Rattus norvegicus: one gene and its partner. The protein of the gene in region 2 interacts with the protein of the main gene of each other region in a biochemical or structural test. Links are inferred from orthologs where the notes say so. Each region holds a gene or a part of one and is shown on either strand. Other genes may lie near its edges.

What was found.
Region 1: the proteins of Zeb1 (region 2) and Usp51 form a complex in vitro, tested with the Homo sapiens proteins (2 studies listed by BioGRID). The link is inferred for Rattus norvegicus from reciprocal best matches to the Homo sapiens genes ZEB1 and USP51.

Annotation. Positions count from the first base shown.
Region 1 is NC_086039.1:21,752,763-21,757,309, forward strand, and holds the start of Usp51 (ubiquitin carboxyl-terminal hydrolase 51), read right to left. Parts: upstream 2,817-4,547; 5' UTR 2,741-2,816; intron 2,003-2,740; 5' UTR 1,987-2,002; coding exon 1-1,986.
Region 2 is NC_086035.1:56,807,775-56,812,185, forward strand, and holds the start of Zeb1 (zinc finger E-box-binding homeobox 1), read right to left. Parts: upstream 2,880-4,411; 5' UTR 2,857-2,879; coding exon 2,799-2,856; intron 2,616-2,798; exon of another isoform or gene 2,604-2,615; coding exon of another isoform or gene 2,022-2,603; exon of another isoform or gene 1,992-2,021; intron 1,878-1,991; exon of another isoform or gene 860-1,877; coding exon of another isoform or gene 853-859; intron 1-852. Other genes in the region: basic proline-rich protein-like, read left to right, coding at 2,022-2,603. UniProt on the Homo sapiens protein: Acts as a transcriptional repressor. Inhibits interleukin-2 (IL-2) gene expression. Enhances or represses the promoter activity of the ATP1A1 gene depending on the quantity of cDNA and on the cell type.

The DNA of each region.
Region 1 (4,547 bases), on a different chromosome or scaffold from region 2:
CCACTGGTCCTTTTCCTGACGGACAAAGCTGGTGTAATGGCCACTTTCCAAAGTACCATGGTGGTTAATCACTGCAAACAAAGAATATTTATTCTCAATTGGCACACACTCCGTTAATGGCTGGCCTTTCATTATGCTTTCTTTAGTAGAGGCCAAAAAGGGTGTCATGTCTAGCTCCAAAGGAAATGAGATAAAAGTATTAATCTTGCGTCTCTGTTTGCCTAAATGTTCAAACCGTTTCAGATGAAAGCAGGCCACAATCGGTAATTTCTTCATTGTGAGCTGTTTGGTAGATTGCTGGTAGCTTTGGCATCGACTGCATTTGATTTTGGCACTGCTTCCCAGGTCTTCGGGCCTTGTAAACCACTTCAGGCAATCTGTAAGTGAGATGACTCGTGGCTTCTGGCCTGTGCTGCCAGCCCTCCCTGGGGTATAAGAGACAGGCAAGTCCAGACTAATGTCCCAGCATGGGTCTATAGTGGTGGAGACACCATGACAGACTTGACAGGTGACATCGGACTGCAGGCCACCTGTAAAGATGTAGTCTATGATGCAGTTACAGTGGTTGAGGTTACCTTCTTGCTCGATGCCATCATCTCTGCTGTGTCTATGCAACACATCTAATATTGCAATCAGAAACTCATGAGCATCCTGTTGCCTGTACCCAGCTAGATGCTCTGCATGGATCCATATCAGGTGAAGCAATTTATAGGGAATATGAGGACTTTGGTTCCCCGAGTACATAGCTTGAAAAAGTGAAGACATCTCACAGACCAAACACAAGCTGGGGCTTGTCATCATGCATTTGTGCTTATCCGAAAGGAAGAACTCCTTCAGTAGTGGAATGCGGGTAAGTGCCTGGACAATACAGTTCATAAAGCAAGTATTCCCAAGATTAATTAACCCTCTGAGGCCTACAGTATAATACACTGTCTTCTTCCTCCTCTTTTTCTTGGGTTTTACCAAACTGGTCTCCTGTTCTTTGGACTCACAGATTGATTGATTTTCTTCAACCTCAGATGCCATTAGTTGCTGATAAGACATATCTCCTGCAGTGGACATTAAGAGTCCCAGAATTTTCTCTTTTGTTTCTTTGGCAATCTTTTCTATATCTTTGTCATATACATAATCCTTACACATAAAGCAATATATAACCCCATGGTAGAGGTCTACTGCTAAATTGTGTTGCTTAGTTTCTGCATGAATATGAATATGTTTCTCAGTAAAGCATCCGAAAAATACACAGGACAGACAAGAGTGGAGTCTGTTCTTATGCGTACTACATACACGACAGATGCATGTCTTTGCCTTACGCTTCCTAGTCTCCGGGGTTCCACTCCAAATGAAACGCTGATAGATCATCCGCAGGTTCCTCCGCCAGTTTTTAGCTACTTTAAAGATCTCTACATGAGAGCAGCCTGTGGGACCCTTATCAAACCCTACCTCCAGTAACCTGTTCTCTGTGCCATCTGAGTCCCCAGAGCAGCCTGGGTCACTAGGGTAGCTTTTCCGTGTTTGGGGTCTGGGTGCAGGCCTGGGTCTACGCCTGGAATTGCGCCAGGCCACCGGCCGCGGCTTGGGCAGGGGTGGTGGCGGCGGCGCTGGCGGGGGAGGCGGAGGTTTGGCGGGAGGCGGGGGTGGGGCCTTGAGCCCACGCCCTCCCCTGGAGCGGGACCTGGGCTGGGGCCGAGGGCGGGGCTTGCGGCGCGGGCAAACCGAGCTGGAGCTGGTGTGACAAGCAGCCGGGATAGAAGGGAGCACCTTCTCATCGCTGCCACTGCCCCTACTTGTTAAGTTCTCCGACGTGGGCTTGGGCTCCGGCCACAGCTCCGGCTTCATCTCCTGGGCTCCCTGTGTACCCCGCATCGTCTGCTCCATTCTCGATGCATTCTCAGCCGCCTGCTCCAAACAGGCTCCTCGACCACCTCCCGAACTCCAACAGGCGACGGAGCGGGAGGACCGGGACGCTTCTCGAACGTGGGCCATCGGCTCACTCCCAAGCCTGGGAAGAAACGCGTCTGGGAATGAGCTATGACTATGGGTGGAGGGAGACAGGAACTCGTGTGGACGGCCAGCCCGGCGTCATGGCCGCGGTGCCGTTAGCCTCAGCCCCTCCCCCTGCCGCGAGCCCCGCGCGCGGCCGCGGCTCCGCCCCTGCACCGGGGCTCGCGTGGCGTGCGGAACCCGAGCCCGCGGCTACCTGCTCCAAAGGCCGCCAGAACTGTGGGTACGGGGAAGGGGAGAAGGGGACTGGCTTGAGCTTTAGGGTGGAAAGGATGGCAACTCTTTTTAAAAGGCATAACCCGCTGTCTTTTCGGCGCTCTGTGCAGCCTGGGTTTGGCGCACCTTTCTCTGCGTTCTTTCCTTGCATCTTTAAGCCCCTTGAGTCAACAGTGTATGTTAAATATGGCTGAAAGGAGGTTATCTTTGGAAAAAACTGACTCAGTGGACGAAAGTGTCCCCTAGCTCCTTTCTTACCTATGCTTCCAGCCTCTACTCCTAAGCGCACTTGCTGTGTGCCACACTCGAGCGCCCTCTCTTGCTCTTTCGTGCCTGTGCCCTCACACCCCGTTTCTGGCTCCTGTCCTCTCATTTCCTAGGGTTTCCCCCAGAATTCAGACTCCCTTCACGCGTGACCACCCCCATCCACAGTACGCGACCCCCAAAGTGCATGCTCCCTCCCCGCAACCACGGCAGCTCCCCAAGCCCGCGGATTTGTAAAAAGGTCTGGGTTTGTTACCTGGGGCCCCAAGGCGCGCTTGATCTAGAAAGTCAGCTGCTGCTGCTGTCCAGGCGCTCCTCTGCCAGTCTTCTCTCTGACCTCTCTTCAGGGCTGGTCACAAGGGGGCCGCCCCCTGGCCCCTCCCCTCTCCACGTATGGGCCCCCAGCCCCGGAATCAGGCCTCCAACAGGGATGAATGGCACCGCTGTCCCCCTAGGCAGAAAAACCCCTTCCTGAAAGAGATTCTACCAGAGGTAACAACAGCCACAGATTTTAGAAAAAGATCTTGGGAAGGCTTAGGCTTCACCTGTTTATGGCACTCTACCGAGGGGGGGGGGTGGAGAAATAGAAAGGAAAAAAAAAAAAACCCTGAAACAACAGCAACAAAACTAACCAAGGTAGGGTTAGGGATTTACCAAGATGGCAAATTCTACAGTGTTCTCTACGGAAGCTTTAAATTTAAAATCGCAAGAGTAAAGTGGAGAGGTTATTATTTCTGAGTGTCGGGGAGAGGAAAAATAAGCATATGATTCAGGATGAAATAGACCTCAGCCCAGCAACTTGCTGTTTCTACAGGGGAAAACCATAAACACTTTCAGCCTTAGTTCATCAGTCAAAGGCAGAATAATGCTAACATGTTTACATGGAGTTGCAGCATATATGTTCTCGCATCCTTTACATTAGTAACTCTAGTACTCAGTGTTCAGGTTAAAACCAGTAGGTAGCACATTGCAGGGCATCAGCACACTTAAAAACACTGCTATGGGTGAATGTGTAAAGAACCCCGAAAAGGGGATCTGCCTGCTCTATAGTCTGGGCTCCTCCTTACCAAAAACTTTCCAGATCCCAGAAGTCTTTCACCAAGATACCTCCAGAGTATTAACACATATAGTTACAAAACAATTAGGAGAGATGCCTATAAAGAAAAGATTGGAATCAGGAAAATGTATCTCTAAATATTAGCTACGTTATTTCAGAATCAGTTAAAAAAAACTTCCTATTGAAACCTAACACTCTTCCCCATCACAACCTGGGTCTGCTCTCCCAGAGTTAACTCAATGACTTCAGGACATCAACTCAAAGGGGAGGTAGGGGCCACAGCTGACATGGACTATGGGGAAAGACCACAGGGACCTATAACTTTCAGGACTCATACCACAGACTTGGGCTTTCCCAAGATTCTGGCCTCCCTGTAAGATGCCCCCTCCTTTATACCTAGATACAATGAGCTATCCACTAAGGGAGACCTCTCATACCATACAAGTGAGGAGAGTTGGGGAGGGGGCTCTCAGAACACAAGGACAACCTATGATACCCTTTGACATGGCAACGAGAGCTGCTGGGGAAGCAGTTATATTCCCAACATAACCTGTCTCTGCCTACTAAACATCCCCAGATGTCTACACTAAGCAAAGATGTCCTGCTGAGTCTATTGGTTGGGAGGGATGAAAGAAAGAACAAGCCGTGTCTCTTCTGGGCCTTCCATTCCATTCCTCCCATTCCCCATTGAGGTATGAGTTACCAGTAGCTCCTGAATGGGTCCTAGAAGGGTCTAAATCACATTTCAGTCTCAAAATCCCGAGTTGACTAAATAAAAACACAGTTAAGTAGTATGAAAGGGGAGCCCAAAGGAACAGAGAGGGCACCCACCTTTCAAACAGACTTGCCTGTATCCAAGTAATATGGATGTTCTAAACAGAAGCTTCACATTCTGAGAAAGGAGAGAGACATTCTAAAATGGCTGTGACTGGAACAAGGGAAGCAGGAAGATTGTCAAAATTTAAATAATATAACTATGTAACTGTAATTTCAGGTGATCAAACCA
Region 2 (4,411 bases):
ATATCTCCTATTGTATATATCACTGCTTATGCATTTAAATGGGTTTTAAGAGTTAACATTTTTCTAGACAATTCTCTGCTGAAACATCTGCAACTTAAATATGACTGCATTGCCAAGTAATATCGACCAGCACCTATCCCCAGGTTTCACAACACAATGCATACAACTTCGTTCTTAATTTGCAAAAATAGCAGGAGAAATCAAATAGCATGGCTGCAATGGTTAGCGATGGATGAAAGCATTTGAGAACAAAAAGAAATACAAAGAGAAAGCCAAAAGTGATGGAAACGGGAGATACCTGTGGTAGCACCTCGTTCTCTCACACACCTTTTGTTTTCTCTGAGTAATGCATACTGCAGTCAAGACATTTCAGTCACAAGAGCCCCAAATCTGTTTTTCTAATATTAAACACAAAGGGAAAACGCTAACAGCAAGCCTGCTACATAAATCCCTCCCCTGAAAATGAAGGCAGCAAAAAGGAGGCTGACATACATGCAGGAAAAAAACTAAACACCATCTTATTTCTACCTGCACAAGTTGCCATTTGCTGCAGCGATCAAGAATCTCTTTTTCCTGTTGATTTCAAGCACCTTTCGGAAGAGCCTTCTCCCCCCTTAAGTCATCTGTTGATATGCCTTATGTGTGTGATATTTTAATATCACAGGATCGCTAGGAGAAAAATCCATTCTTCCCTGTTCAGGTAAACATGTTTACAGCAGCTGCACAGACGCTGGGTGGTTCAGATTCACATGTCACACACATGTCGTCAGCAACAAGAAAAGCCCCTTTCTCTGGCGATTAACATTTTAAATAACATAAGGGCAGCGAACAGCCCTTTTCTACCCAACTTACCTTTCATAAAGCCACATCAGCAATAGCGGCAACAGCCCAATGTAGAACAGACACTATTTGACGCTAGAAGCAGGAAATTACAATTGCGGTAGCCTGTGCTCAGGTCCTTGCCACAACCAGTCACCTCTCCACAATGACGCTACCCAACACACCTTTCCCTTCGAACGAACGAACAGGCTTCTCCGAAACGCAACATTTATCTGAATTGAAAATCATTCATGGCAGCGGAGATTTTAATGTGGGCTCAGATATATTCAAAATGTGTTTACAACCGAGAAGAAACCTTTGGAACAGACTAAAATCTTCATATCTGCTTCTAGACAGGAAATCCCACACAAAATCTAAAATTGCCAGGAAAGGTTACAAAACCTGGCGTTTGGCATCCCGGAGGGGAGGGAGCAACGCAGGCCGGGCAGGGGTGGGGCGTGGGGGGCGCGCCACGGTTGCCACTTAAACAGGATTTCCTAATTCTCTGGACGACACATTGATGCCATCAGGGGCATATTTATTACCCCCAATCTTAAAAACTCGTTCAACACCCCGCGGGAGCCCCACGCAGCCACTGGGTACGAAAGGCATGAGGAATTCCTTATATAGCCGCGGCCGCGGCAGCACAGGGCTGTGGCCGCCCATCACCACACACAGGTACCCGGGCGGGGGCATCCCCCGGCCGCCGCCGCAGGGACTGTCCAGACAATGACCAGGAGCAGAGGCTGTCCGCGCTGCAAGCTGAGAGCACACACTCGCCTAAGAGGGGCATCACCCAGCAACTCCCCGCGTCTCCCCACGCTGGGAGAGCCCATGGGGCACCCACCGACAAAAGTCGAGGTGTCTTATTCTCTCCTAGTGCCTGTAGCTTTTTCTCTTAAGAAACAAAACAAAACAAAAAACCCCAACAACAACAACAAGAACAACAACAAGAACAACAACAAAAAACTCTGCAGCCAGGCCAAGGAGGAGTGTGTTTCCCTGGCACATCCGCGGAAATCAATACCCCGCGCAGCTGCACCGCTAGCCGCAGCCCCGTGCGCCCGTCGGGCCGCCAGCCCCCTCCCCCACCCGCCCCACTCGCGACCCCGTGCGCCAGCCCAGCTCCATTATCTGTCCTCTGCTCGCGCGTCGGGCCCAGGTAACAACTTCCCCAAACCGAAAGAGCCAAAGCGAGGCGCATGCACACAGCCCCGTGCCCGCCGGGACTCGGGCTGTCCGGGTGTCCCGACCTGTCTGTGCTGTTTCCCGGCCCGCAGGCGGCGAGTCCACGCACACACACGCCCTGTGGCAGCAGCCAGGAGCCGCCAGAGCGTGCCCGGCCCCCGACGGGCACCGCAGGCGCCGGGTTCCAACCCCCTGAGCGCCCGGCTCACGGCGGCCCCGCGCGTCCCCATCCCCGCCCGCCCGCGAGCGCGCGGGGCGCAACTTTCCCGCGGGCGCCCGACCCGGCGCGCAGCGCCCGCTCCCGCGCACACGCGCGCACGGTCGACACGCAGCCGACACGCAACTGGCCCGCGACCGCCCGTCCTCTCCCGCCCGCGCCCGCCCCGCAGTCCGCGCCCGCCCGCCGCAAGTTTGTTCCCCGCCGCCGCGGCCTGCGCGGAGGGAGGATCGCGCGCGGGGAGGCGCCGAGGGGCAGCAAGAGTGGAGAAAGTGCGGAAAGAAGCAACAGCCGCTCCACCCGCGGGCGGAAAAGTGGCCGGGCGCGGCGGCGGGATGCGGCGCGGCTAACGGTCCCCGGCGGCCGCCCGAGCCGCTAGGCGCAGAGGCAGGTAAGACATAACGGTCCAGGACGGCGGCCGCGGCGGCGGCGGCGGCGGCGGCAGCGGGGCGCACTACTTTACTTTCCCACTCCACTCGGCCCGGCCCCGCCGCCGCCCCCGGCCCGCTCGGCCCCGCGCCCCTCGCCCGGCAGCCCGCTGCCCGCCGCCACGCCGGGCCCCTCCGCCACTCACCGTTATTGCGCCGCGGGTTCGCCTGCTTTCTGCGCTTACACCTGGGGCCATCCGCCATGATCCTCTCGCTTGTGTCTAAATGCTCGAGTCACCTCCTCCCCCTCCTCCCTCCCTCCCTCCCTCCCCTTCCCCCCCCCACCCGCCGCCTCCACCCCTCCCCCTCCCCACCGCACCTGGTTTACGACACTCGGGGCTTTACGACATCACCTTCCTAACACCTAGCGGCGCTCGCTCTACGGCCGGAACCTTGTTGCTAGGGCCGGGGTGGTTTGCGGCAGCCTTAGACGCTGCGGAGTTTGAATCGTGGAGGCGAGGGAAAAGTTTTGCTCAGGTGTGGTGGGGTAGCGGAGAACGGTTCAGGGACTCTAGGGACAGGAACGGGAGGCTGCAGCATGGCTTCCTAGGCCAGGTGGAGCTGTAGGCATGGGCCACACCCGCTCAGCCCTCGCGCGGTGGAGTGCGCACTCTGCGGACCCGCGCGCTTCTGCTGTGGGTGCGGAGACCCGCGCGTGCGCCCCGGGGACGTGGACAACCAGGACTTGTCGCGCGCGAGCTACCTGACCCGTTGTGCCTCCTCCCTCCCCTCCCACGGACGCGCGGGTTTCCCCAGCCTACCCGGACGGGAAGTGACAGCAGTTGGGTTGAACTTCAGCAGGACAGACCGAGGCCAGAAATTCCGCTCGCAGGAAAGCAGCATGAGTAATCCTCCACACGGTGCCAGGCTCACTTCCTCATCCGCGCCTAGCTCACCTGCTGTCACCTTGCCTCCCCGCCCTGCAGACCCCAGGGTCGTGGTGCTCAAGAGTTGTAGTGACTTGCCTTTGGGACAAAAACAGCCCTAGGGGAGTATGCTCAGAAACCTGTAATCCGAAGCATCTGGAACCTGAGGCAAGAGGTTGGCAGCCTCAGGGGGCCAGCCTGTGCTATGAGTGGAACCCTGTCTTAAAATAACTAGTTTTCCACAAATCTGAGCAGTTCTCGAAGTGTGAAGGCCTCAAGGCTAAAAGCAAGGTTGTCTAGTGTGGGTTGAGGCTGGTTTTTATCTTAAGTCCTTCGACTTTGTACAAGACCCAAAACACCTTGATACCTGTTTTCAGAAATTGGGACTTAAATTGACCTTTCTCCCTCTGCTTCCCACCCCTTTTCAAAGGAGGAATTGTGTGGGACCACTCTTATGAGATAAATTAGCTAGGCTGTTATTTCAGATGTGTAGTTACTGATTTAAGTGTATTTATAAATAGAGATAACAACCCAGAAACATGCCTTAGAATGTAAGAAATACTACATTAAATCAGCACAGATCGGATAAATGACACCCACTTATTAGGTTTCTGCCTTCGGGTTCTCGCACACACTAGCAGTCTTTACATGTGGGAGGTGGAGGCAGCAAGGTCACAAGTACTAAGCCAACTTTGCACAGTGAGACCCTGACCATAAAAACAACTCCAACCTCCAAATGTTAAAAGACTCATTAAACTGAAGTAAGTGTTCATCTGGGGTCCAGTAATTAAAATGCACTGGCCATAGATGAAACCCTTCCCACATTTGCTGTGTCTGAATAATGGGACTGTACATGTAGTTTGCACATCAGATCTATACTCATTGCAAAACTA